Linked DNA regions of Oryzias latipes. The protein of the gene in region 2 interacts with the protein of the main gene of each other region in a pairwise test. Links are inferred from orthologs where the notes say so. Each region holds a gene or a part of one and is shown on either strand. Other genes may lie near its edges.

The links.
Region 1: the proteins of ywhag (region 2) and epb41l3 interact in binary tests that used the Homo sapiens proteins (3 or more experiments, as listed by UniProt). The link is inferred for Oryzias latipes from reciprocal best matches to the Homo sapiens genes YWHAG and EPB41L3.

What each region holds. Positions count from the first base shown.
Region 1 is NC_019875.2:4,944,809-4,948,458, reverse strand, and holds part of epb41l3 (band 4.1-like protein 3), read left to right. Parts: intron 1-1,981; 5' UTR 1,982-1,992; coding exon 1,993-2,145; intron 2,146-2,983; coding exon 2,984-3,127; intron 3,128-3,650. UniProt on the Homo sapiens protein: Tumor suppressor that inhibits cell proliferation and promotes apoptosis. Modulates the activity of protein arginine N-methyltransferases, including PRMT3 and PRMT5.
Region 2 is NC_019871.2:9,989,335-9,993,642, forward strand, and holds the start of ywhag (14-3-3 protein gamma), read right to left. Parts: upstream 2,868-4,308; 5' UTR 2,711-2,867; coding exon 2,624-2,710; intron 7-2,623; coding exon 1-6. UniProt on the Homo sapiens protein: Adapter protein implicated in the regulation of a large spectrum of both general and specialized signaling pathways. Binds to a large number of partners, usually by recognition of a phosphoserine or phosphothreonine motif.

The DNA.
Region 1 (3,650 bases), on a different chromosome or scaffold from region 2:
CCCGACTCACTATCTGAATAAAGAAATACTCAGAAATGCAATTTCTAGCTTAATTTTCTTTATACATGTCCTCCACCGTGAGAACAATTGCCACAAGAACACGTTAAAAACACCAAAAACATCATTTCCATTGGAGTGGGTCTTAAGCAATCCACAAGTTGTGACCGGCTAAGAAAGTTAGAAATGAATGTCTATAAGGGAGCAGTTCTCTGCCTAAACCAGAGCTCCGTTGGCTCCATCATCTCTACATTTGAGGCATTGAATGTGAATGCATTTTCTTGTGCCAGCTCACACACAAGCCCTCTGTTTGCGCTGTTGTGCGCGCTCGTGAAGGGTGCCTGCCACTGGCGGTTAAACGTATTCTTTTTCCATTTCTATGGTACTATGATGTTCCTCTCCTCAGTCCATGGTTCCTGTTTCCGTGGAGGTGCAGAGGTTGGATGAGTCGCCATTTTCTGTCAGCTGACGGCTGCAGATTTTACACGCATTGCCCAATATTGGAGAAGCACAGACTAGTGACCTTTTAAAAGTGCTTTCCTTGACTTGGGAAATATGTTTTTGTAAACGTCGAGGCTGCAATGTGGATCTTGCAACACTGGATTCAATGAAGTTGTTTCTAGTTTGGTGTGTTTTGTAGAATTGACGATCTTTGCAGTTTTCTTTGTCGTCGTGAGCTGGATAAGGATGTTGCATTCACTGACCCTTGGACTTCTTTTATTGAGTTATTGCTTCTTAGAACCAAAACTACATTGAAGTTTCCAGCAGGTTGTTGCTCTGGGTCATTTTTTTATGTGCTATAATCCTTGTTAATGTAACAAAATTTGGTGTTAAATGAAAACAATCTGTTGTCAAATGTTAACCTTCAGATGGGCGATGTTCTGGATATGAATGACTTTCAGTTGCAGCTTTTTTCAGCAGCCGTTTGGAGTTATTCATCACACTTGTTAAATAAAGCTGAGGCATGCAGAGGTTATGGACTATGCATAATTCTACATCTTGTAGATACATTTTTTTATTCACTCGAGTTCTTTTCTGCATTTCGTCAACATGCTAGCATTTTTGGGGATCCCCTTCCTCTGCAGTTGTGTTGGCTCAGAGGCTGCTGTCCTCAGCTGCGGCTGGAAGTCACAGATCCTCCCACCCTGCGGTAAACATGTCCCTATAAATAGAGCTGAGGGAGAAACAAGCCAGCGGCAGAACGACAGGCATCCACACTACAAGCTCCAGCACAAAAACACACACCCACCCTCCCAACCCAACATCCCAAGATCTGACCCTGTGGCTCCTGCTCCCACTCGGGGCCCCCAGTCAGGTTCATCCAATCCGTCATCACCGAGAGCAGCAGTCAGAAGGTGCTTTTTCCTCACGGCCCGGTTTGTGCCTCTGTGGACGGCATCTGTTCCTGTGCATTGCTGCGTGTGCTATTCACAGAAGTAAAGGTCAGGCTGGGAAGAAGCGTTCTGCTCGAATACTTTAAATTCTTGTGTGTAAATACTTGGGAGACGGGAGGTAGTATTCTGATTATTTTAGCTCATGAAAGACATGTGACTCCTCGTTACAGCTGTGAAACATGACACCCCCCTTTTAGAAAAGTTTTTTAAATCTAACTTAAACACATAAGTTAGCTAGTAAGAGCAAATATTTTCTGGCTACTTGTTGTTAAATGTTTTTTTTTTTTTTATGTGCAATTGAAGATCCAATATGAGGAACAGGTCCAAGCAATTGACTTTTCTTCAGCTTGATCTCCAATGCTTGGTGATTTTAGCACAATTTTGCAAAGACAAAAGAGGGTTTTTTGGGAAAACATCTATTGCTGCTCTTATTTTGTCTTATTTTAGCAGCAAAGTAAAATTAGAATCGGAGTCTAATCAGTTTTAAAGCATCTCATCAGCATTGCCCTTTATAATCAGCGGCTTAAGAGAATTTTTGACCCTGTGGTCCATCAGCTGACTCGCTCGGATTCTCTGTGTTCCTCCTCCAGTGTGATTTGCCATGACGACTGAATCAGGCTCGGAGTCCAAGCAGCCGCAGGAGAACAGGGAGGCGGAGAAATCTAAAGCGGCGGAGGAGCAGACCTCACCACAGAACCAGCCCGAGAAGTTCCCCGCCGCCGCCGGACACAGCACGCCGGCCAAGAGAGAACAGGTCAGCGCGCAGAGCTTTCCACGGCGGTTCTGACACAATGGCCTCCAAATCACGCCGTTCCCCATCTTTCTGTAGCATTTACATGGTAGAGAAATGAAGAATGTGTTTTGGCTGCTTTGTTGACCCAATTAACTTTGATTAACTTTTTTCTAAATGCATACTGTCTTTTTTGAAAGACCTCATTAGTAGTTCTTCATGAGGTCCTTCTGAATGTCATAACTCTTTGTCTTACGGTCAGTGCTCTTTGCTTTTAGCATCAGAATAAGGAAAGGACATTGACTGCAGCTCCGCAGTGTCACACCGCCACTATGTTCATTTAACGCATTTTCTGTGAAGAAATCTTGCGATCATGCAGATGTCCATTGAGGGTTTCGGGTCTTTAGTTACAAGTGCTATAACTGCAGAGAGCGTCCGTGCCTGAATGAACCAGCAGAATAGCTCTATATTAGATGATGTGGGGGACGTGACCATGGAAGCAAAAGAACATCTGCAGCAGGGCGTAACACTCGATCCTCCTGGTGAATGTGAAGAACAAACGTCTGAAGCCTCTTTTTCAGGTTAAAGCCGGTCAGGGTCGGCTTTGTTTTCACTGAGGTGGAAAATTAGATTTTTCGCTTAAAGACATAATGGTGCTGAACTTCTGATCTCATCTGCTTGGTTGGATTCAGTTTTACTTGGGTAGGAATGTGAGGAAACTGGTGTTTCTTCTGAAAGAAAGTGACGGGCGAGGGCTGCAGGTGAGGGTACTGCAGAGCTGTTTAAAACCCTTTCAGTCTCCAAAAAAGAATCATCACAGTGGGGTTATAAGTAAAGGGTTAATGATGTTTTCTGCTTTCAGGAGCAGCAGAGAGAGGATCAGGTGTCCCACAGGTCGTCCTCCAGTCGTCTGTCCAAGTCTCCTTTGAGGGGAGTCCGTAAAGTGAAGATAATGCAGTGTAAAGTGGCCCTGCTGGACGGCTCCGACTACACAGTGGATGTGGAGGTGACTTCTGGCTCTTCAATAAAAACAAATCCCTCATAGAGCCATAGATGTTTAAAAAACCGTTTCTGCATCATCCTGTTTTGTTCTGATTCTAGCATATAAAACCAGTCCTAACACAAAAATCTGAATCCTCTTCTTCCTCTGTGGGACCTGAAGGCAATCTGCAGCGAACAGAGCGTTCTTCTTTGGCTCAAACTGGTGGTCTGGAGTCTTTTCTGGAAACAGATGCAATTAAAGTCCCTCTCCAATCCTCTGCTGATCTATTTTCAAAAATATTGTCGTTTTCTAGGACATAATTTCTGCAGAGCGGCATTAGTTCATCAGAAATTCCCCTCTGATTTGTGGTTGGCGACATAAACCAGAGGAAGTAAGCCTCTGCTTATTTCCTATCATCCCTTTGTTTGCAGTCTCTTCTGCTACTTTACAGCCCCTCACAACTGCAAGCTAACTTCACTGAACAGAAATGGCAGCAGTACCAGACCTATCCAGCCGAACATTTTAGTATGGCGTTTCATATCTGCCA
Region 2 (4,308 bases):
TGTGACCTGGAAGAAGGAAGGCGCAAAAGGCTATAATTCATGCAATAGAATTTTGACTAAGAAAATAAATCTTTCACGAAATATTAAAAAAGGGAAGGCTTTTTTCTATCTTTTAAAAACTGTTGAAATAAATTTGCTAAGAACAATCTGTTATAAAACAGCTAACTCATCTTCCCCTTCCAGTCTGATTGCAATGACGGCAAATCACTCTATAGGGATGCACTTAAAGAATTTCTCCTGAGGCCCACAAACTACATTTGTAAAGCAATGAAAGAAAACAATGGAATCATTGCACAATGACAATTAGTTTGGCTCATCCGGAGAAAGGATCCATCCTTCTATCATTCGGTCAGTGTCGTCTGCAGTGACGCGAATGAGTGAGATTGGGCTTGTCCAATTCCTAGTTTCCATGGCAATCCATTCATTTAGACATCAGTAGCTCCAGCTGCCACGTGTACATCTAATGCTAGCTAGTGAGAAATTATATTGTACTTAGATTGCTCCAGTGAGGGGGGGGCACGAGAAGGATGGAGACAGAAATGTTCCCACAAGGACTCAAGGGCAGCTGCAGTGTAAATGAAAACTGTCACTGCACGTGTCCCACTGACCTTCTCTTCGGCTCTAAGTGACCTTTTTACCTGTTTTAAGCTCCGTGATGTGACATCACTCTGACTCGGACAGATAATTTTGGATCTGGATGGATCAGTATGACTGCACAGAGGTCATACCACTCTGGGTAAATGATTGGAAGAGGCGCTCTGTGCTGGCATAGATCGATGGAGTTTTCAAAAACGGCTGTTACATATGCAGGAAAGACACACTGATATTCAGCTGTACTATACCAACGCTTTCAATTTTTCTCTGTTCAGTCAGAGGGGCGTAAAGATGGCACACGTGACGTCACTAAATTGGCACAGATGGAATTGCCTTCACAGGGCCTGTCCAAAAATGCACACGCAATGATCCGATTTGACCGCAGGCGACAACTGTGAGGCTTTCGCTATGAAATGAAGCAGATTCATATTGATCTGATAATAATTTTTGTAGAGCGCACGAACAGAGGAGCACTTAAAATTTAATGATTGCAGCGATCACTGCTGGAACTGCAGCTATGCTCGGCGTACATCAAACATTTTGGCGTTCAATTGTCATTATTGAAGGGTTACAACAAGGTCATTAAGAGTGGCCCATCCGTTATTTGAATGACGAAGGAAATATTTGCTGGTGTCAAGAAAAAATTTTTTTTTTTTAACAATTGGATTGATTTTTCTGGTTTCACGCTGCTGGTCGAAGCTGATTTGTGAAGGCCATTTCTTTAATTGATAACCACGAAGAGCAGCGTTGCATTTTTCATGAGGAACACGAAGGTGACAGCCTCTCATTTGTCATTTGTGGATGCAGTGGCAAGGGATTCCCTTCGAATAAAAGGGCACCCCTCACCGCCACCCCATCCCACCTCTTCTTCAAAAGAATCAAGAAAGGCAAAGGAATCCCTCCTCACCACCTGCAACCAGAAACCCTTCATGGCAAACGATCCAAATAGGCTCTGATGTTCTACAGGGGCATTAAGACACAATGTTCCTCCCGTGCCGGGCTCTTTATCTGGGCATGGACTGGCAAGTCTGGATGCTGCTGGTTTCACTGTGAGCTGGTGTGACACAGCAGTTCTTAATGCCCACCGGTGCATCCGGTGTCAAAATTTCTTAAGGGCCCCAAAGGAGAGAGGGAGGGGGAAAGAGGAAGAAAAAGCAGACAAAGACTTAGTCCTGAGCAGCCAATAAGAGCTGAGAGAGCTAATGTGTGGCAAGCCAGCCATGTCATCCTCTTCCCATCATATATTGCACTGCTCAATCAGGGTCGTCCCCCTGAAATAACTTTAAATCGCCCCTGGATTTCAGCCCTGACACACTCAGGACGGACACGAGCACAGACGAGAGTCTAAAACGTCTGGGATAGAAATAAGTCTCTGCAATATGACAGCAGATATTCTAGTGCTGCCTCCTATTTGATGAAATGAAGGATTAGAGAGGCTTTTTCCTGAGGTGATCATGCTCAGATAATGCCCTTAAGCCTTGTATCAACATGAGCAGTTGTGGGTAATTATTATCGTTATAATTTAAGTGATAAGTATAAGAGAATGGGGGATGGGGGTGGAGGCAGCTCACATGATGTAGCAGAGGCTCCAACTGTATGAATTCAACATAATGGAGGGAGAGGAGGTGGGGTACTACAAGAGGGGGGGGGGGGGGCAGTTAATGGAAGTGAGCAAGGCCATTATATGATGAGCGGCAGATGATGCATAGTGGGGCTTGCATGCATTTCATTCTAATACCCTTTCAATAAAATGTACAACCGACAGAGGCACCGCCCAAACACCGGAAAGTCTGGACCCGACTGCTGAGTAAAAAATGAAAAATAATTTTCCAAAAAAAAGAGGACGTGAGGTGTCAACATTGCCTCAACTGTGGAGCAAATTATGATTAAATTCGAATTTTTTGGATCAGTGCGCCGGTAAAATTGAGCCAGCGTGCGCGCAGATTTACAGCCGTGGCGCGTTTTTACGCAGACGCAGCAGACTCACCATCACTCACACGATTTTCATCCTCTCTGGAAAGTGACTTACCGACTTCATAGCAGCTGCCATGTCATCATACCGCTCAGCCTGTTCAGCCAGCCTGGCTTTCTGCACCAGCTGCTCGCGATCAACCATTTTCTTCTATGATATTTGGTTGCCTAGTCAAGCTTATTCGGGTGGCTTATGTGGGTAAAATAATCGATATTTGAAATCGCAATGCAGTGAAACTTAACACGAGCCTTCTGCTGCAGCTGCTCTCTGCTGTCTGACTGAGCTGCGCGCAGACGGGACACCCTCTCCTCACCCCCACCCTCTCACATTCCTCCTCCTCCTGCTTCTCCTCCATGGGCTGCGTCATCACTCGGGAAGGTGGGTGTCTGTGCCAATGATGTAACGCTCCGTACATGGGGGATAGTGGGCCAGGCTTGTGGGCATGGCCGTGTAAAACGGCTGTGATTTCCAGGGCTTCAGCTTTCCGAAAGCCCCCTTTGTTTCCAAACCATTGACTGTATAGGAAGTGTGATGTTACTTAGAGCAAATTACTTGCTTCCGGTTCCAAAGAAATCCAATCAGTTTTTTTGCTATACAGTAATCCCCCCGTATTCGCGGGGGTTACGTTCCTCACCCCCTGCGAATAACAAAAATCCGCGAATGATTGACGCTGTTTTAAAACTCCCAGAGCCAGAGCCTCTGCAGAGTCAGAACCTTTTTCTGCCGTTTGGGTTCATTTCCAGAAGCTGGAGATGATGCAGGGTGTTTGGATGGCATCTTAAACGCGTAAACAATACTTTACAGTAAAGTACAGAGTAAATCGTTTTTCAAAATTTGCGGACTGAGCGCTGTTCTGTGCCTCATGCTTCTGACGTCACGTCATCTGTGGCCACCCGCGAATGGGCGGGGCGCGAATATTAAACCGCGAATGGGCGGGGGATTACTGTACAGCCGTAGAAGTGTTGGAACAATGCCAGTAATGCTACATTCACAAATACAACTGCCACCGCGCCATGGGGAGGCTTTGCCAGAATCTCACGCCACTTTCCGATTATTTAAATATTGTTGGCAATTTCTTTTGGGTTTTGTTTTTCATTTGAGTTCTGAATTTGAACTAAATCAGAATAACTTTTTTCTCATGGTGATTTTATATTTTGCTGAAACATCCTGATCTTGAGGAAGAAACTGCTTTTTTACCCCCACTATAGTTTTGAAGCTGAACACAGCTATGGGTTAACTTGAACAAAAGTCAAAGTCTTGAAACTAGATGTTAATTCTGTTACATAGACAAGGTTTAATTAAAAGGCGACCTTTGCCTTTTTTGCTCATAGTATCATGTGTTTGTCAGCATTCAAGCTTTAAAGTCCCACTCCAGTCATTTTTAATCTATTTAAAAAAAAATTTCCAGTGTTTTTTTAATTATCATTATACTGTTTTGGGGCAAAATAATTAAAAAAAAAAATTCTGTGTCCGTTTCTAGGACATAGTTTCTGCAGAGTGGCAGTGGTTCATTAGAAGTTTGCTCGGTGTTGGGTGTGGTTACACTTCTCCCACTAACTTACAACCCCAAGCTAACGCTAGCGGTGCAACAAAAATGGCGAGCAATATTGGAGCTATTCAGCCGTACCGTCTCTTGCCAGATTCCATCTCAGACGAGAAAAAAAGTAAAAGTCAATGGATGTATTCGTCTGCAAGTAGATGCATTGCAATAGCGCAGAGCAGGGAGCTTGTGTCCTGCTTAT